Linked DNA regions of Schizosaccharomyces pombe. Changing the gene in region 1 together with any one later gene gives a genetic interaction. Each region holds a gene or a part of one and is shown in the gene's direction. Other genes may lie near its edges. The genes, in order: prm1, dni2, dni1 and fus1.

Evidence for each region.
Region 2: of prm1 (region 1) and dni2, changing one enhances a phenotype caused by changing the other (phenotypic enhancement), as found in Schizosaccharomyces pombe (one study listed by BioGRID).
Region 3: of prm1 (region 1) and dni1, changing one enhances a phenotype caused by changing the other (phenotypic enhancement), as found in Schizosaccharomyces pombe (one study listed by BioGRID).
Region 4: of prm1 (region 1) and fus1, changing one enhances a phenotype caused by changing the other (phenotypic enhancement), as found in Schizosaccharomyces pombe (one study listed by BioGRID).

The regions. Positions count from the first base shown.
Region 1 is NC_003424.3:3,734,927-3,742,698, forward strand, and holds the start of prm1 (conjugation protein Prm1), read left to right. Parts: upstream 1-1,757; 5' UTR 1,758-2,028; coding exon 2,029-3,538; intron 3,539-3,578; coding exon 3,579-4,180; 3' UTR 4,181-4,235; coding exon of another isoform or gene 4,236-7,772. Other genes in the region: GMP synthase Gua2, read right to left, coding at 1-350, 551-591, 635-673; lys1 (aminoadipate-semialdehyde dehydrogenase), read right to left, coding at 4,236-7,772. UniProt on the Schizosaccharomyces pombe protein: Involved in cell fusion during mating by stabilizing the plasma membrane fusion event.
Region 2 is NC_003423.3:1,182,857-1,185,865, forward strand, and holds dni2 (claudin-like protein Dni2), read left to right. Parts: upstream 1-1,570; coding exon 1,571-2,259; intron 2,260-2,410; coding exon 2,411-2,468; downstream 2,469-3,009. Other genes in the region: protein Trm734, read left to right, coding at 1-1,248; SPOM_SPBC4.02C (rRNA methyltransferase), read right to left, coding at 2,761-3,009.
Region 3 is NC_003424.3:2,995,495-2,998,678, forward strand, and holds dni1 (tetraspan protein, claudin Dni1), read left to right. Parts: upstream 1-1,958; coding exon 1,959-2,663; downstream 2,664-3,184. Other genes in the region: rpe1 (ribulose phosphate 3-epimerase), read right to left, coding at 1-194, 240-276; rrg8 (protein Rgg8), read left to right, coding at 810-909, 960-1,564. UniProt on the Schizosaccharomyces pombe protein: Cell membrane protein which plays a relevant role in coordinating membrane organization and cell wall remodeling during mating.
Region 4 is NC_003424.3:4,812,574-4,819,800, reverse strand, and holds fus1 (formin Fus1), read left to right. Parts: upstream 1-2,014; 5' UTR 2,015-2,457; coding exon 2,458-6,576; 3' UTR 6,577-6,690; downstream 6,691-7,227. Other genes in the region: eIF2 alpha kinase Hri1, read left to right, coding at 1-1,542; CCR4-Not complex subunit Caf16, read right to left, coding at 6,736-7,227. UniProt on the Schizosaccharomyces pombe protein: Required for cell fusion. It associates with the pre-zygotic projection tips in conjugating cells.

The DNA.
Region 1 (7,772 bases):
CTTTTGGCATGGAGTTAAAAAAGCTTTTGAAGACCTCGGTTTTGATTTCAGGTTCCATACTAACTGTAGCTGGACCGTACTCTCTCTCGATACCTGGTTCAACACAACGTCCATTCAACCATGCAATTTCTTGCATGCCATAACAAATACCGAGTACAGGAACACCAAGTTCAAAGACAGCAGGATCCACATGAGGTGCAATGTCATCGTAAACAGAATAGGGGCCGCCAGACAAAATAACACCAATAGGCTTAAATGGGAGAGCTTCTATTTTTTGAGTGCAAGGAAGTAACTCTGCATACACGTGAATCTCACGAAGACGTCTGGCAATCAAATGACTATACTGAGAGCTACAATTATGGTTAGTACAAACGAATCAGGAAGTCGAAAAGACCACTACTAGAGCCATTTTTATTTTTTATGAGATAAAAAATAGGCTCATTGAAGAATTGATCAGAGAAGAGATAAAAAATTCACAACTAATATATCACAAGCGCGAAACTCCTTCAATCACAATCAAATTCATTTTAATATAATTTTTAAAACGTACCCAAAGTCAAGAATTAAAATGGTATCAAAATATGAAGAAACCTTTGATATTCAGATCAGTAATGATGCTAACAAGCAAACTTACAGAAGTAGAGACTTCCCCGGGCACTTCAGTGGAACTCATGATGAGTAATTAAAATTAAGTCTCTTTTAATCTAATGAAGTTGGAATCTTTATGGCAACTGGCAATGACCACTGGTAACCCCTAAATGGCACAAAGTACTAGTATGGTGAAGTTGCTAAATCCTTGCGAAAAAAAATGTAGCCTTTTAAAGATAGACCAATGTAATGCGCATACACTATTGTTTATAACGAATTTTAGTGCAGCAATGTATCGCTCGTAATATTTCAGATATCTCCTTTTTCGATTTCTCCATATAATATAGGAGGTTTTAAGGTGAAAATTCACTTTTCGGATGAGTTATAAAGCACTCATATATGATATTTATGAAATTTTTTTATCCTCTTATTTTACTCTTTAGCTGTAGTCTTCGAATTGTATCATAGCCTTTCTCTGCCATAAATATAAGTTTTCAGAAAATAAAATGATAAAAAATATCAATTACTCATTTAACAAGTGGTAGCCATTGTTATAGCTTTTTTTTTATATCTTCTGGCCATGCTCAGTTTATTATTATTTTTTTTTTCATTGATCTGTGAACTTGTGTATGGTTGTTTCCATTTTATTACAATCCATAGAGCATGCAGGCAATTTCTTAAAAATAATCGAACTCCATTCAATTAAAAGAATGTTTCAGATTCTGTTCTATCAGAATAAATTGCTAGTTAGCTTATAAAATAAGTACAGTTATATTTTATTATTGACTGCTATAACTGCTATAACATGTATATGCAGTAACATTTTTAACATTAAATAATGTTGAAAAGTTTATAATATTTAAGAATCAATCAAATTTTGGTACATAATATTAAAACAATTTACTAAATAAAACATAAAAATAAAAAAAAAGCAAAATTATACTTATTTGCTTAATTAAAAAGATAAAATATAAATTTATTATCGAAGACTGCAATATAATAGCAGGTCTCGTGGCCCAATGGTTAAGGCGCTTGACTACGGATCAAGAGATTCCAGGTTCGACTCCTGGCGGGATCGATTTTTTGAAATCTAGAAATTCCTAGTTTATGTTTGTTTAAATGCAAAGCTGTATGAATATAGATATTATCGATGCCCCTTGTAATGCATTGACAACTACTTTAATTGTCTGTTATTCAACTATTACAGGATTCGCATATATATCTGATTTTTCTAAATACTATTATTAACAGTTCAACATGATTGTTGTTTTTATTTTATGTTTCATTTAATGCTGTTTCTAAGCCATTTACAGTTTCCACTTCTTTTATGGTAATTCTTTGTTTAATTCTGAGTTTCTTTGTTCTTTCGAAAATGTCTAAACAAAGAAATGCAAAACCGTCTAACACATTTATTACAAGGCAGAGATCGAACAGCCTGTAATGGCGTCTTCATATCTTAGTTTGGCAGCGAGGCTTTCACAGTGTTGGATATCACCCTGGTCATTATGCTGTCTCTATATTCTCATGCAGTTTTTCTTATTTACCAAGGATTTGAACACAAAAATAGGAGATTTTGTCAATGATGAACAAGCTACTTGTAACTACATACAAGAAAAAGTCGACATTCTCCTTGATAGCCCATCCTTAATTGCTAATGCGGCTGTTAGGGTTGCGAAAGATGGCATTCAAAGTACAGTTAAGATCATTCTTTCTGGAATATCAGACAGTCTCATTGCTGCTGAAAATGTGTTTATTTTCTTTATCGAGTTTAGCTATGGTACCTATCTTTGTCTTATTCAGCTGGCAATCGATGGCATCTTGGATGCAGTTGCTGATGTCGGTGAAGAGATAGGAACTGCGGTAAATGATACATTGCATGCGATTGCAGATGAAATTGAAGATACAGTCTCTTCTTTAAACGAAGTTTTCCAAAGTGCAGAAGATTCGCTGGAGAAAGTTGCCTCTTGGCTAGGGGAAGACATCAACCTGCCAAATGTCTCTATTCCTGAAATCCAGTCTCTCCGAAACTTCACTTTATCTTCTTCATATGATACAGAATTTGAGAAGTTAAAGGCTGGTGTTAATTTTGATAGTGCCATTAATGCAACAAAAGCGGCCATTAGCAAACCGTTTTCTTCTGCTCGGAATCTTATCCTTGAAAAAGTTAGCAACTATTCGTTTGACACTAGTATGGTCTCTTCTCCAAATAAAACACATGTAGTGGTTTGTTCGACTGATGATCTGACGGCTATTTCATCATTTATTCTAAGTTCTATATATAAGATCAGGAAAGTTGTCATCATTTCTTTGCTAATTATAATTGCGGGATTGTTTTTGATTTCTTCGATTTATGAAATTTGGAAATGGTGTAGAATTAGACACAAAGCATTTCTTCTGGACGAACACATAAGAAGTAATAAATTTGAAGATACCCGTGACCTAATTTCCTATATAGAGTCTCCTATTTCCTGGAACTTAAAATATTTTATTTCAGCTCTTCCTTTACCTTGTTTTTTAAGTGTGCAACTTCGATGGTTCATCACATATATATTTCATCCCCCTGCCGCAATGATTCTTTTTATTAGTTGCACTTCCTTTATTTCTGGCATTCTACAGCTGGTACTTCTCAACAATATTCGTGAAGATGGTTCAGTAATCAGTGCTCTAGCGCAAAATTCATTTCATAAAGTTGAATCTGCTTTAGCAAATGTTTCAGTAGCATGGGCTAATTCAACTAACCAAATTATTTTAAAAAATCAAGAAAACATCAATAACAATATGTTTGGTTCCATTCATAATACTACACTTTCTTTGAACTCTACGCTGAATACGTTTATGAATGAACTGAATTCGTCAATGACAAGTGCGTTTGGAGACACCTTTCTTGCAAGTACCGTACAAAATGTTATGAATTGCTTGCTTTACAGAAAAATTGAGAATTTTGAAGAAGGTTTGTTATACTAGTCTTTCAAATTTAATCTAACCAATAGTTTTGACTTGGGTTTATAACAAATCCCATATTGAATTACCTCTTTTACCTACTGATATTTTAAGCAAATCTATAGATAACCAAACTATCTATTCTTCTTTATATTCTTCACTAAATTCATCAAACAGCACAGTGAGTTTCTCTGGTATCTTTGATAGAGTTGAAAAGTCAGTAATAAGTGAGCTAAATTTTTCTTTCCTATTTTTTTTGCTTTGGTTATTGATTTGTGCATTCGGCTTAATTGGTGTTTTATCATCTTGGCTCAAATCATTATTCCTTAGCCTTCTAGATTTAGTTATTCCAAATCCAAAGGAGAACATTACTTTACCAGTACAATCGTTAGCTTTTCCTGTTACGAAGTCGTGTAGGCCTCCTCCTATTCCTCCCCGAGAATCGCACGTTTATGATTTCCAAAATTTTCAATATGAAGAAGATGACTGCATAGACTATAAAAGGTCCTTGGGTTTAATAAGCCTATCTAGTGACCTTGCTATTGACATTCCCATCTCACCGGCAATTATTTCAGATATACAATTTAACTCAATCACAACAGAAAGTGAAGAGACAACATATTTATTGAAAGAAAAACAGGATAGATATTAGAAGTCTACATAGATTCTAAATTTTTCATTTTGGATAATTTAACTGCTTAATAAATCTAATGAGTTGGAGCGCCTCCACGACCACCAGCCGATGCAAGCTTCTCCAAAGTAGCTTCATTTATTTTGACTTCAGGAAGCTTTTTACCTTCTAAAGTAGGTTTTGGCAAAAATCCAATAGCTACCAGATATGACAAATATAAGCCCATCTCATGTTCCAAAATTGCAGCTCCATTAGAAACATCCACGTTAGTCCAAGATGCATCACGTTTCAAGATTTCACGTGTGTTTGTATCATCTAATTCAGGAGCTTTTGTATTAGCAGGAAGATTATCTAACACAAAGTGAAGTAAGGGATACAAAGCACTATCATGAGACTCATTAATGACAAAGCGCTCCAAAGCAATACGCCAATTGACGTATTCGGAAAGCTTGGTATTGAAGCCAAAAGTGGAAAGAGTTCCTAGGAATTGGTTGAAACGAAGTCGGGGATGACTAGTTACGTGAGCAACAATTACTCCTTGTTCGGGATGGAAAGCACTGGCAGTTACCACGCGAGCAACGTGATCGGCAGGAACCATATTTACAGTATTATTGATGTTCGGGTACAGACCCAATTCAATGCACCCTTTGACCATTCGAACCAAAAAGTCGTCGGTATTAATAGCACCAGACTTGGAGTCGCCTAAAATGTATCCAGGACGCACAACAACACCACGAAGGCCACGTAATCCCGCTTGCCTTACTAAATATTCAGATACCCATTTGCTTTGTCCGTAACCGGTATGCAAATCTTTCGAAGAACCTTGCAAAGGATCGGATTCTGGGATTCCATTTCCTCCCTTTGAAGTAATTTCGTTCGAAAGGTTAACGTAATACTCAGTATCAACAGTTGATGTGGATGAAACAAAACTCAAGGATTTACCTTTTCCTAAAGAGCAAAGTTTTAATGCAGTAATTGTACCCATAACATTAGGACCTCTGAGTTTAGAATATGGATAAACCCAATGTACAAGGGCACCATTATGAATAACATAATCGACGACTTCAGTAAGCTTGTTCCATTTCCTTTCTTCTATACCCCAGTTTTCGAGAGCAAGATCACCATTGACAACAGAAATTTTTTGGGCCCATGATTCATCCCATACACCATACGCGGTACAACTGTCTTTAAGACGTTTTAGACCATGTTCTTCCGATGAGGCGCGGACTAAGGCAATGACTTTCAAGTTAGAGCTTCTGGTCATAAGGTCTCTTAATATAAAGACACCAAGGTAGCCGTTAGCACCAGTTAAGAAAACGGTTTTTGGCTCATCAATACCCAAGTCTTTAGAGGTTGGAAATTCTTTAGGAATTAAATCTACTAAATCAAGTGCATCTTTACCATATTCAATTTCAGGTTCTCTAGTCTCTTCTTTGCCTATATCCATCACGCTAATCATCTCACCCGATTTCATTCTTTCAATCTCTTTGGCCAAACCTTCAATAGTAGGTTCACTGAAAACTAAACCTAAAGGTACATTCACAGCAAATTTTTTGCGAAGTTCAAAAATTAAGCGAGTAGCTAAAATAGAATGTCCTCCAATATCAAAGAAACTTGCTTTTTTGTTGACATCAGTAGCGTGTGGAATGATACGCAACCAGATATCACGTATATCCCTTTCAGTGGCTGTAAGAGTTTCATCAACTCCATGTTTAGAATGTGAACGAGATGCGGCAGCAAGTTGTGATGTGTCTGGGAAAGGCAGAGCAGGTTTATCTATCTTTCCATTAGGATTGAGAGGCATTTTATGAAGGGGAACAATTACAGAAGGAATAGCATAACTAGGAAGTTTAGTCTTAAGATATTCCCGTATATCATGTATAAGCTTCCTGTACTTCTTCAAACCATTGACGACAATATCTTCCGACTCAGTAGCGCTATCAAAGTCATCTTTATTTAAACCTTGAGGTACAATGTATGCAACTAGCGTGGGTTCTTCATCCTTATCACGTCGAACAAGGGTAATATTTTCACGGACATTAGGATGACGAGAAAGATGGGTATTAATTTCACCTAACTCAATTCGGAAACCACGAATTTTAATTTGATCGTCGGCACGACCGCTACATTCTACATTACCAGTTGGGAGATAGCGGCCCAAGTCACCAGAACGATACATACGATCGCGTATTCCGAACCAATAAGGTTTCCAGGGCGCATTTTCTGGAGTTCGGTCTACAAACTTGGAGGGATCAGCAAACCAACTCTTTAAGAATTTTTTGCTAGTCAATTCATCATTTCCAAGGTAGCCCTCAGCCAATCCACCAGCACGAAGATATATTTCACCAACTTCTCCGATACCGCATATCTTGTTAGTATCAAAACGATTGATCACCAAAAGTTGGACATTCTTCATGCCACGTCCGGCTGGAATGACATCTTTTTGCGATTCCAAAAATGTTTGATCTTGAGACCGCGCAGGTACTACAAAGTACGAAACTGAACGCTGAGTCTCTGTCGTTCCATACATGTTAACAACGTTAACGTTGTTAGCAAGGACTTGTAAGCGAAGACAATCACGTTTCGTCAAAATATCACCTACAAAAAATGCATGGTGTAATGAAGGAATTGGCTCATCAGCCTGAGCAGCTAACAGTTGACCCATAGCTGGGGTGAGATGAGTTACAGTAACCTTATACTTGTTAGCCCATTGGGCTAATTGACCAGGGGTGCCAATGTCTTCAGCAGTGGGTACGATTAAGGATGCGCCAAGGAAAAGTGGTGTGAAAATATCTCTTTGAATAGGATCATGAGCAATTCCACTTAACATCGTAAACCGGTCTGATTCAGATAAATTAAATTCCTGAGCCATCCAATCAAAATAGTAAGCAAGACTGAAATGTCTACCTTTTACACCTTTAGGAATTCCTTCACTTCCGCTAGTAAAACTAAGTGTGGGAGTACTATCAGGGCCTACAACAACGCCAGTTTGTTCGGACTTCAAGTGTAAAACGTGTTGCAAGATATCGTCAGCTCCTTTTGAGACTGATCCTCCCGTTAAAGAACCATCTTTAGCAAGTTTTAAAGCTGGTACATAAGTTTTTAGTTCAAGGCTTTTCTCAACATACTCTACGACTGTGGGAGACAAAACACCTGCATCTTCCAAAACAACTAAGGCTCTGGGCTTAGCAACGCTCAGATATATAATCTGACGAGCAGGTGGATATGCTGGATCGATAACTGAGAATGTGGCACCAGCTTTAAGTACACCCATGACCGCGACAACTAAATCCACACCTCGATAAGCATAAACCATAACTACATCACCCCTCTCAATTCCATTCTTTACGAGATGGTGAGCCAGGATGTTAGAAGACTCGTCGATTTGTCGATACGTGTAACTAGTGACAGGAGCATCAATTGTGACCGAAGGAGTGACTACTATGCATTCTCTATCAGGGAATTTAGCAGCGTTGGATGCGAAAATATCTTGAATGGCTCCACGATAACCACTCCAATCAAGATCAACAGTTGGATCTGGAAGAACATTCATTTGGGTAGGTGTCATTAGGTCCAGAGCACCGATAGGACCTGTAACATCTTTGGAAGCTGA
Region 2 (3,009 bases), on another chromosome or scaffold:
AAATTAAAAAATGGAAAGGAAAATCAATGGGTTTGGGGTTTTCATGCATCAAATTTTTTTTTAAGGGATGAGACAAATGAAACTAATGTTTTCTTTATTGATTGTGGAGGTAGTCATCGTCCATGGGCTTTTTCAATGGAGATGGACATTCAAAGTTTTGCATCTTATAGAGCAAATCAACTTTATATTTATAGCACTGCTTTAAATCTTTTGCAAAGAAATTCTGTATTACAAAATGGTTTGCATGGGCGTGAGATTCGAGCAATGGATTTCAATCCTTCAGGGGATCTTTTATTATCAGGATCTGAAGATACTAAAGTAACCCTGCTTGAGTTTCAGAGTAATGGAAACATAATTCCTCTGAATTCTGTCAAGTTTCATAATTCAGGAATCCAATCGCTGACCTGGTTTAGCGATGATATTTTATTTTCCACTGGTGGTCTTGAAGAGTTAAATGTTTATAGGCTAATACAAAAGCCAGAGGCATATCTGAAACGGATCGTTCATGAAAAACTCTGCAAACCAAATAAAAGTAACAAGACTTACGATGGGGATCTTCGAATAACTGACATTTCTGTTGTAAAGGCAACCCATCTGGGTGAAAGAGTGTTATGGATTAATACTGTACAGTCCGATTCGACTATCAAAGCATTCACTTATAACGTAGATACGAAGCAGCTAAATTGTATAAAAAGTTGGAAATATAAGACAGTTTGTTTGGTTTTTGCCGAGGCTGTTATTTTCGGGTCTCATTTATTGTTGGTGGTTGCTTCGACTGATGGTAATGTTGCTATTTGGAACACATTTTGGAGGGATCCTCAAATTGAGCCATTAATAATTTGGATAAAAACAGTGCATCAATTTTGTGTTAAGTCATTAAATATTAGCAGGGATCAAGATGTGTTAACGATTTCTACGGGTGGTGATGATGGTGCAATTTCTCGATCTATACTTTTGTTAGAACAAATAAGTGAAAATTCAGTAGTAGTCAATTCTTTACATAACTACTTTTTTGCTGAAGCTCATGCTTCCAGTGTTACAGGTGTTTTATCAATTACCAAAGAGCTTTTGCTGAGTGTATCCATTGACCAAAGGATATTACTATGGAAAGTCGAGGGTGATTCATTGAAACCGATCCTGGAAAGATATACTCACGTAGCTGATGTGGGTGGCATGATCCGAAATAATGATTTTTTGATAATTTACGGAATTGGTTGCGAAGTTTTTAGACTGGGTTCTTTACGATGATTATTTGCTCAATAATGTCTACTACTCGCCTATTCATTCAGTTTACTCTTATACACTTCAAGGGACCTATCTTTTCATTTATCATGACGATGGTTTAAAAATAATAAATAATTGATTTGATTGAAAGGCGGCACAGCATTTATCGGTATTAAGTATGTGTAGTACTCATAATTTCTTTGTCCTCGAAGACAAAGAAACATAACAGTTACGTGTCAAAAATTTCTTTGTTTCAAAGTATTATAATAGACTTACATTCCATAATAGTTCTTCTATCCCTAAACTAATTTTGCTAAAGTAAACAATTTAAAATTACGGTTTAAGAATGGAAAGAGGAACTAGTAAATTCAGCTGGATTGGACTTGTTGCAAGAATATACAACTATATTCCTCATCCTAGTATTTTTTCGAATGCTATTTTAGGAATTGCATGGCTTTTTTTAATATTTTTATGTTGCAGCTGCTTAACGAAATCATCTATTTTTGCGAGATTACTAAGAGTAAAGAATGAAACAACCACCGTAGACGTCGGTTTCTTTGGAGTGTGTGATCAAGCTATTAATTCAACGTCTCGAGTTTGCCATGAGCTTCGAAATTGGGATCAAACAACTGGTGGTTTAGCATATGAAACTTCGAGATTTGCGTGGCTTCAAGTTCATCCTGTTCTCCTCGCGATTGTTGTTGTATTTTCAACACTATCCATTGTTTTGACTATTTTAAAGTACTTGGCTCCTGCATACATACGCCAATGGTCAATAAGTTGTTTAACTACTAGTACAGCCGCCTGTTTGCTTTTAGCACTCCAAATGGCTTTAGCTCATATTTCGGCTAATTCATATGCTGTAGGAATGAATTTAACTGGGAAAGCTACAGCAAAATTTGGGGTAGCTGCAGCAGTTTTTGGGTGGATTTCCAGTGGATTCTTTTTGCTATTTTCGCTAATACATTTGGGACTTTGGACTATTGAACGAAACAAGCAAAAGTTATTTGAAGAAACATCTCTCTCATTTAGCTTGTAATTATTACGAAAAGAATGTTGGACGACATTGAAATGACTACTATTAAGTAAAATCGCACTTATGATACTCTTTAAACGTATATGACAGATACCCTTTTGACTTTTTTAAAACTATAACTAAATTTCATTTAATTAACACATAAAACAGCATTACTACTAAATTAAGATTAATTGAAACACAATACTTCATTTGCAAAGACTATTAAACAAACATAAATAAGATTTTGTAAACCATATTACTAATTTGAGCAAAAATGTATTGAGAATTAGCTTTTAATGAATCATAAACCATTAAATATAAATTAACTAATGTTGAAAACAGACAATCTAAAATTGCAAATGTTACGAACCAAACGATCAGATGTATATGCCTAAGATTGGTAATCTAATTATAATATATTGAAAGTGGGAGACTTAAATAAAAAAAAGAGAAAAGAAAAGAAAAGTAGCATAACTTAATAAAGGATATTTTTGAAAAGGGATGGAAAATACTCAACTTTACTTGCGTTTTGTTGGACCAGTCATAGGAGAAGCACGACCAGCAGTCAAATCATCATCGGAATATTTCAACGACGATACATAAGGTCGTTTGTATCGAATGTCATATGTACATTCTTTTCTGATATTTGTACGAAGAATCCATCGCTCGGAAGGTGCTAATGTCTTCCACTGCTGAGCTCCAATATCTCCAATCTCCGATTTTACAATACCAGTTGACATGGACACGTATAATATAGTGCCATAAAG
Region 3 (3,184 bases), 740 kb from region 1:
TTCGGGTTCAATAACCATCAAATGACAATCGAAAAAGGCCTCCTCCTTGGTGTAATGGTTACGCATAGCTTTCACAACAATGGGTCCGATGGTCAGGTTAGGAACAAACTGTGCGTCCATAACATCTACGTGTAACCAATCGCTACCATATTTAAGCATACGGCCAACCTCTTTTTCAAGATTGGCAAAGTCGCCTAACGTGTGTTAATACTTGAATCAAACACTCAAAATATTCGTACCTGCTAACAAAGACGGAGCAATTTTTGCCTGTACCATTTTTGAGTCCTAAATACAAAATTTTTTGAGTCCTTGAGGAAGAGTATTTGGTATATAGTAAAGTGAGGTTTCGGTGGAGCTGATGTAAAGTTAATTTTATCAGTACTATCAAGTGACCGCTAAATACTCCTCATTATAAGTGTATTTGAAGGTTAAATGTGATATGTTTATGAAAAATAGAAAAGTTTATATGTCGGTAAGCAGCATGAAACAGTCGTACTGTACAAATCGGTCAATAGGTGAAATGCCTAATAAAAAATAAGACTTATAATATTTATGATTTTAAGCTTCTGAAATTTTAATTAGATTGTCTTTCATAGTAAATAGGTCTCAATAGTTGAACTCGGCTTACCATACTAATTCTGACCAAAAAGTATGATGCTTATTTTTTATATGCAACGCTTCACAGCTTAGTAAGAAAAAGTATATCACAAGTCATCCTACAACCTAATTTAGAAGTCAAATTGGTTAGGATTGGGGTGGGGAGTTTATTTCTGATCCATACTATTTACTACATCTGCAAAGTATTCACAATGACAATAAAAAAAATTATTTCGAAAAATGATCCTTTGATAAGCATCCTAAGCTCTCCTTTAAGACAAGACTTGGCAACGCACTTTTTATTTCCCAGAGGTAATCTTCTTTTTTAGTTAGTTTTAATGTTCGGCTTACTGACAATATAGAGCTATTAGCGAAGTTTCCTGCAAGGAAGGATACAAATCCTCGAAAATTTTGTTTGTTGCCATTAGAAGGAAAAAACCATTTACATAATAAACATGTTTCTTTATACTGCTTATTATCGGATAGATACTTGCAACCGCCGTCAAAGCGCATTTTCAAGCGCTGGAACATGGAATTAAATAATTTGAATTGTCCTGATATAAAAAGATACATACTTGAGTCATTACAGGACTCTTTGTTAAAAGAAATATCCTCATTAAAAGAAACTTCAACTCAGAATCATTTACATTGTAATGATATTAAAATTTTACAAGATTGTCTAAGGAGACCTAACATTTCGAATGGTGGCATATGGGTGCAATGGAATTTAGAAGAAATTAATCAATTGAAAAAGTTTCTCTCTTTTAGAAAACTCTATCCTCGTCAATCGTTTATATCGTTGTTACAAATACTGCCCGAGCCCTTTTTAAAATCGCAATTGAGTCATACGCTACCAGTGGGATCTAAATATTTTTTTGTTCCTTGCGACAAGAAACATCATACCTTGGGGCTTTTGCTATGGAAACTTTTTTTTCTCAAAGATATGCCCGCTGCGTATTCCTCATAGAGTCGAATGACCATTGACGAACTCTTTGTTCTCGGGAACAAAGAAAACACGAAGACAATGAAAAAAGCAGATTTTTGAAAGAAAGCTTAGAAATATATTATGTCATTAATAATTTTTTTGTTTACTTTAAAACCTGGCTTGGATCTTCCTTGTTCGTCTTTTCAAGCTACTTCCCTTCATAGCATCGCAAAAAGCCATTTGAGATAATTCTGTTGTGATTAAATCTCCTTAATTTTACTTCAGGATTTGCCTATATTTTTGCTTACTGAAGGCTTTCACGAACGTCAAATAATTTACCTTTTTTTAAAAAACATTCAACCTATTCATTCAAAAAAACCAGTTGACGAAAAGAGTTTTTGTATCAAGGACAAACAAACATCTACATTTAATCACCATGCTGTTTCTTCATTCAGTTGTACAAGGAACTGGAACTCTTTGCACATTAGCTGCATGGATTTTACTTGCACTAGTAATGACAGGTTGCCAATCTAGTACCACCTCGAAATTCCAGTTGTTTTCTCTTGCAACTAACGTAGCCCAAATTAACGTTGGGTATTTTAACATGTGTGTACTTTCTGCTAATGCGACGCTGATCTGCAAACCTCAATTTACTGGTTGTCCTGGGTTGACTTCCATTAGCTTAACGGATGTAAGGTCTAAATTTCTAATCAATGAAGTTCACCCTTGGATGATTGTCTTTTCATTTTGCGTATGCGGTGTTTCATTTCTTATGGGTGTTGTTTCCAGCCTTCCCTTAATAGGGCGTTTGGAATTCCTGAGAAACATTCGTATAAGCCTTTCTTTTTTCTCCTTTTTTAGTATACTAGTAACTGCTTTGTTTGCTCACGTTGCTGTCTCCTCTTTTGTGATGGCTGTTGGAAATGGAACACAAAATCGAGTTACTGCATCTCTAGGCAAAAAGGCTATGATCTTTTTATGGTGTTCTATGGGACTTGTGACATTAACAGGTATCACGGATTCTATTATTCTTTTGGTTACTTCAAGAACCAAGAAGATTCGTAAGACGATACTGGAAAAAAGCAAAGTCCTTACCCCTAGTTCATCCTTTTCTAGCAAATCCTCAACAACAAAGTATTAAATTATGCGCCTCAACTATTATTGTTTTGAGAAGATATGACCTTTCTCACCTTGTTATATTACATTATGGCAACTGTATTCATCTGTACTTGTTTTTTGTTTTTACGTTTTTTCACGTTCCGCTTTTTTTATGATTTTCTTAACGCCTCTTTTTACGATTAATCTCATCTTGGTTTATTTATGTATATGTTTTCACACTGCACTTTACTTCATTTCTCTTTTGCACTCATTTCTACTTACCGCACTTGAAACTTTCATGTCAAAAGCTCATATATTCAAGTCAAGATAAAGCTGTTTAATATTTCATTATCAATGACTAATATCGATTAAAACAATCATATACATTCTCTTTCCATAGTCTTTTTATTTAGAACCTATATACATACGCATCTTTACAAATTATACATTCTTCAATTGATTTTTTGCATAAATCTGATCAACTGTATACTTCTGTAACAGTTTTTTCGTATCTTACAATCGTAGCTGATAGAAAGAAATTAAAAGAGATATTAAATGATTTCT
Region 4 (7,227 bases), 1.1 Mb from region 1:
GCTGATTTTTGTGAGCACAAAGATGGAACCGGTAACTTGTCTTTTAGCAACTTTGATAGCTTTCCCACAGTCCAAAGGTCAAGATATGCAAGTGATTTTGAAGAACTTGAGTTACTTGGTAAAGGCGGTTATGGTTCAGTGTATAAAGCTCGAAATAAATTCGATGGAGTTGAATATGCTTTAAAAAAAATTCCACTTCGGTTACGTTCTTTCTCCACTTCTTCTAACATATTCCGTGAATCTAGGACCTTGGCAAGATTAAACCATCCCAATGTGATAAGATTCTTTTCTAGTTGGGTCGAGCTCTTACCGTCATCTGAAAAGCAAATCGAAGAAGAACCTTTAGCTTCGGCAGATGAGACATTATCTCAATCAGCAGATATAGATAATTTTATGTTTGATATGGATACTGGGTTACTTCAGCATACTTATCCTTCATCAGTTCAGATACTATTCCAAGAGGACTCGGTTGCAGATGATTTAACTCCTTGTTACTCTACCAAAAATTCGACTTGCAACTTGACTGATCTTTTCAAGAAAGAGGCCGATCAGGATTATGCCGAGTCACATGATTGTTCTTCAACAACATCACAAGTCGACACATTAGGAAAGTTGGCGCCAACGAAGTCAGCTTCTGAAATGTTACTTATGGATTCATTTCTATCCGAAAGAGAGGAAGATGAATGTTCCAATATTCCCAGCTTTGATCAACAGCCCTTATGTTTGTACATACAAATGGCTCTTTGCGAAGAAACACTCGAGAAACACATAAACAGACGAAATAAGCATATTCACGGTGTAATGTCTAAAGGCCTACGTAACTGTTATATTTTACTGTTTGCAAGGATTTTAGAGGGCGTTTTGTATCTTCACGATGCTATGCATTTAGTCCATCGTGATTTGAAACCTCGAAATATTTTTCTATCTAGTGGTGTACATTCTGAGCCTTGCTCTGTGTGTCTACCTAATTTTTCTGATGAAGATAATGTTGAGGTTAGCAATGCGTACGAACCAGTGAACCAAAGAACTTTATGTGTTGTGCCCAAGATAGGCGATTTCGGTCTTGTTCTTTCTCAGTCAGATAATTTGGAAGAGGGGACCAACTCCTCAGCTGAATCTTCTTTTGTCGGTACAAGTACGTATGCAGCTCCTGAACTTTTCTCAAAACACATGCGATCGGTAATGAATAACAACTCGTCTACTGACATATATGCATTGGGCATACTCTTTTTTGAATTACTGTATCCTTTTAACACGCGCATGGAAAGGGCATCAGCTATCGCCAATTTAAAAAAGGGCATTTTCCCCCATGATTTCTTGGATTCCATGCCAGAGGAAGCTAGCTTAATCCGGTCAATGCTCAGCTCTTCGAATAAGCGCCCAACTGCTGCTCAACTTTTGACTAGCAATCTATTTCATGATTTGGTAGTCAATGAGCTTCATGTATATCAAGCTTTATTGGAAGATGCTGAGAAACGAAATAACAATTTGAAAGCAGAACTAAACATACTTCGAGTTTTAAACCCCAATTACGACTGTTAGTATTAGTTACGAACTACTTTGGACTGCTTCAATTGTTTTTACAATTCGCTTTTGACAAGATTTAGTTGTTTATGTTATTTTATGTTTATATTTCCTACGTTTTATGTTTATCCACTGTTATGATTTGTTTATAGTGAGTTATCTTCCATGCTCTTGGAATGGTTTTTGGAGCTTTTAGGTGCGAAAGAGTAGTCTGCATTAAAGATTTTTCTTATTTTAATATATTAAATTGAAAGTTCATCTTGTACATTTTTTCGTTGCTAGTTTTCAGTTCAACAGTCTGATTGATTTTTTTAAGTTTTCTTGATCTTGATCTTGTACTCAAAATGTTTATCCTTTTTAATCAAACTGTCTTTCATTTATGGAAAACAAATATCAATCAAGCTATAAATTAAACAGCAGAAGCGATTGTTTAATTTTAGCGTGATAGTAAACTAGCACTTCATTAGGCGCCTTATTCTAAAGACACAGTATGTACGCCACCCTCTCAATGTCTTTTAAAAAACATTTATTAATAAATATAAACTAGAATGGACACTAAACTTATTTCCAGCATTATTCAGTTAATTCTGATATGGACTACTTTCAAGTTGTCGCTTTCCAATTACGTTTGTGTTTGAGCTTGAACTTATCGGAAAACTAAATAGTTTTCGAACACAGTTAGTATTTCTTTGTTCTTTAACGGGTACAATAAAATGGATCGTTGCATATGTAATTGTTGCTTTGAATCATATTACGTCGGTTAAACCGAACAAAGAAAGTTATGTTCTAAATACTCAGTAATTTTCTAGTAAGTCTTTTACCTTACTTCTTATATCTGAACTCAAAAAGGATTGTTTACGAGCAAAAAACCTTGTTTCTGTAATTATAGGACATATTATTGATGGTTTCACCTTTTTTAGCTATTGCTTGTTAATGATGACGGCTAGTTTTAAAGGTATCAGAATCTCTAAACCAATTGTTAAAGAAATTTCATCGTTTGGGTCTCTAACAAACATTGATTTACACACTGACCCATATGAAAAAGTCGAAGCAAAAGCATTATCGCGAAGCAGATTAAAAAACCAAAGCGTAAAGAAAACAGACCTTCGTATTACAAATGATTACTCTTCACTATTTGTGAGTATTGAAAACAAAAAAAACACTATTCCGGATATTCATTGCAACAATTTATCAAAAAGACCTGTTGGATTTACCGATTCATATGTACCAGGCGAAGCGCTTCTATGTCCGGATGACCCGAATTTAGTGAATGAATTATTCGATGATGTTTTAAAAAGATTACGCGAAGAAAAATCTGATTCTGGTGAGCAGTTTCATTGGGACGCGAACGTTACACTCTCTCAAGAAAACAAATGGTCTTTCATCACTGGCTATTTATCGAGAAACGATAAATTTTTAAAAATATCATCAAACGATTCTGAACTAAATGTCAAGGCATCCGTCATTTCCTATATTGAAAAGTTAAGCTGTACACCGTTGAAGCTCAAGTACGTGGAATCTTTGGCGGTTGCATTGAGAACCGAATCAGTTACCTGGGTTCGATATTTTCTTTTGATGGGTGGACACATAGTACTTGCTAAAATATTGCAGGCAATTCATGAGAAGAAACATCTAAAAAGTCCTGACATAACTTTAGAAATTGCAATCCTCAAAAGCATGAGGTGTATTATAGGACAGAAGATTGGGACTGATTTCTATCTGAGTAATAAGTATCCTATCGATTCAGTTGTTCACTGCCTCCTGTCAACTAAATTACTAGTAAGGAAACTAGCTGCCGAATTACTTACTTTTCTTTGTTACTCAGAAAAGCCGAACGGAATCAACGCAATTATGAAATGTATGAAAAACTTTGCAAATTTGAAAGTCGAGTCTATGAACGTCTTTGATTTATGGCTTTCTCAATGGAAAAGAACACTCTTAGAGAAAGTTGTTACTGAAGAAAAGAAAGTACTAGAAGAAGCGGCCTTACATGATAAAATAACTATTGAGTATATCATTTCACAAATGCTTCTTATAAATGCATTTCTTGAAAATATCCCATCTAAAACTGCTTTACTCCAGTTCAAGGAATCCTTGAGAATAGGGAATTTCAAAAGCATTTTACTCATTCTAAAAAAAATAAATGATGAAGGAGTATTAAAACAACTCGAGAAATGCGTGAAACTCGTATCATTAGACACTGCTAATGAGAAACATTTTTTAAAGCACACTCCAAATTCTGCTGCTCATCAATCCCTTTTAAACACAAACATGTTTAATGATGCAAATTTCGAATTTATGGTTAAAGAGCATATTAAAAATTTTTTAAAACTTTTGAAAGAGCACAACAACCCCGTCCGTATTATAAAGTTACTTGATTGTTTAGTGCTTACTTTACAAGCTGATAAAGGGAATGGTAATTCAAATAATGATATTGATTGCTTTTATAAGGAATTAAAGATTGGAAACGAGCAAGGGAACAACGCTCCGGGGTACTCAAGTGTTACGTCTGGCTACGGTACTACCAATAGCAAAAAAGTTGTCGCATCATATGATAATACTGATGATAATGAATACAGCGTCTCCAAATCAGAACTTTATGCTACTGGTGATACTAATAACACTACAAATCAAGGATATGAGAATTCCGAAAGAAAGTATGTGGAAAGTTCGAAGTATGAAACCGATCTGAAAAATATCTTTGATTGTTTGTGTTTGTTGTTTCCATCAGAGTTTGATCCTCAATCTTCCTTTTCAGCCGAAAAAATTTTTAGTAAACTAAAGCACTTACTGACGCGTACGCGCGATTCATACATTTCCGAAGATACCAAAATTCTTCGATTATTGAACCGATCAAGTAGTAAACTGCAAGATCGTGACCAAGAGTATTTAATTTCTAAAAACAATGTGAATGGAAATGGAAACAGAGATTGGGTTCAACCCGTGAACACTACCTCTAGCGTTAGTGCTTTTGCTTCACCAAGGATAAAACCTAAACTGCTTTTTCAACCAAATCAGGATGAAAAATTAAAACTTTGCAAATTAGATCTAGCTAAAGCAAACTCAATCACTTTAAAATCCGAGCCATCTTCCGCTGTTTCAACGCATTCTTTTGAGGTTCATCTGAGTATGCCAGGAACACAAATAAAAAGTGCTAACTTAGCAGAAAAAATGGAAACTTCAAAACACAAGGTTTTTAATCCAAAAAGGATTGATGTTGTTAGTGATCTTCCCTTAGACTATCGAAAGTCGTACTATGGCCGATTTTCCATAACTGATACCAAGAGGTTTTCTAAAATAGAAAATATGAGAATCAAAGAAGTTATTGATGGGAATCCATTCAAAGCTCCACCTCCTGCACCATTACCACCTCCTGCACCTCCTTTACCAACTGCAATGTCTTCTCTCCAGAAATTTGAAAAAAATGATTCACAAATTTTTCGGAAGACGATAATTATTCCCGAAAATATTTCAATCGATGACATATTTAAATTCTGTTCAGGTTCAGAGTCTGAAGTGTATGCAAGCAAAATTCCTGGTGAGCTATGCAATCCTTCTAAACGGCTAAAGCAGCTTCATTGGAAACGCCTCGAAGTTCCTTTCGAAAAAACTCTATGGAATATTGTAGTTGCAGATCCTTATTTATTAACTTTAAAACTTACTGCGGAAGGGATTTTTAAGCAACTCGAAGATTGTTATCCATTGAGAGAAGTAACAGTTTCCAATAAAAAAGTTAAGGAATATACCGGATTTATGCCAGTTGATTTACAGCAAATGGTTAGTATTCGTTTGCATAGATTCAATTCCTTGACACCAATTGAAATTGCCAAAAAATTTTTTCATTGCGACCATGATATCATGGAACTAGTCGATTTTTTTAATGACCGAAAGTTTTTTCGACAAGAAGGTCTTAAAAAGCAACTAAAGCCTTATATGTCATCTCGAAACGAAGAGGTAATGGAAGTAAGTGAAAAGCTTTTAGAATTGTCTCGTTTCGATCAAATTTATACGTTAATTGTTGTTGACATTGATACTTATTACGAAAAAAGAATGGCAGCTTTAAAAATCAAATCGTTTCTGGCCAACAACTTTAGGGATTTTAGAAGACAAATAAGGAAACTTCATTGTGCTTCTTTAGAGTTGAAATCTAGTTTGCATTTCAAGTATTTTTTAAATTTGGTCCTTCATATTGGCAATTTTATGAATGATGCACCCCGTCGAGCTAAAGGGTATCGATTGGAAAGTTTACTAAGAGCTTCCATGATTAAAAATGACAAAACAGGATTAACACTTCTTCATACTATTGAAAAAATAGTTCGGACTCACTTTCCACAATTGGAAGCTTTTCTCGTGGATTTGAAAGCCATTCCCGAGATTTCCAGATTTAATTTGGAGCAGTTGGAGCAGGATTGTAATGATATTTGTGAACGGATGAAAAATGTTGAAAAGGACTTTAGCAATGAAGGCATTTTTTCGAATCATAAAGCTCTTCATCCTGATGACCATATCTGTGAAGTCATGGTTCCATGGATTCCATCAGGAAAATCAATGGTGGATGAACTTAATTCTGATATTACTGAACTAAAAACAACCCTTAAAACAACTCTCTTAATGTATGGTGAAAATCCAGATGAACCTACATCGAGTGCTAGGTTTTTCAATAATTTAAACGAAATAATACTGGAGTACAAAAAGGCTAGCACTGTAAATCAGAAGATGGAGAAGGAAGAAGAACTTGCTTTTCTAAGACTACAAGCTTTAAAAGCATCTGTTAAAAGCAATAATGCAGAAAATAGTGGTTCTTCAAAGAATGAGGAAGTTTCAGCAACAATGGAAAATTTAATATCTCAGCTACAGAAAGGTTTGTGTGATGATTCTTTAAGCAACAAAACCGATTGCACTGAATCATCGAAACAAACAATCGAAACTCTAATGAATTATGAAAATGATAAACAAACTCTAGAAGGCTCAAATAAAAAGAGACAAACAGTCGTCCTTAAAGCTGAATGCATGCTTAAGCAGCTGGAGAATAACAATGAACTTAAGAGATAATGATGTTTGAAATGTTAATGACTTTTAATGACAATTAAATGACTTAAACAAATTATAATGAAATTATAATTAATAAAAGGTATAATTATTAATTCTAGTAAGACTGTAATGCTTGTTAAAGATAGAATTAAGCATCTAAAGGATAACTTTTCTAGTAATCTATTTTGCTCGGGAAATCTTAAAGTAATCAGTAAATACATCAGTTCCAACTTTTAATGATTCTTGAACGTCGTCCCAGGTACTACGCTTTTCCTCTTCTCGAGTTCCCCTATTTTTTTTGTCTTCTTTGAGCCATTCCAAACATGTCTCTAGAAGGGCGCTATTTCCCGTAGAGGACCTTGTCATCAGAGCACCAAACTTGGATATTGGTCCATAATCCACGATACGCCCAAGACTGAGATGGACCAAGTGAGTTGGCCACTCAGCTAAACCATCAAATATATGTGTTGCATAAACAATAGTAGCATTCCTTACTTCCGTTTCCTCTTGCAAAAAATTTAACAAATCTGCCCGGGCAAGAACATCCAAATCTACAGTTACTTCATCAAGTAAAAGTACTTCAAATGGACGCAGAAGTCCCATACATAGTTGAACACGTCGTCTTTCACCATCGGACACTGCATGCATTCGCCAACGAAGATCTATATCAAG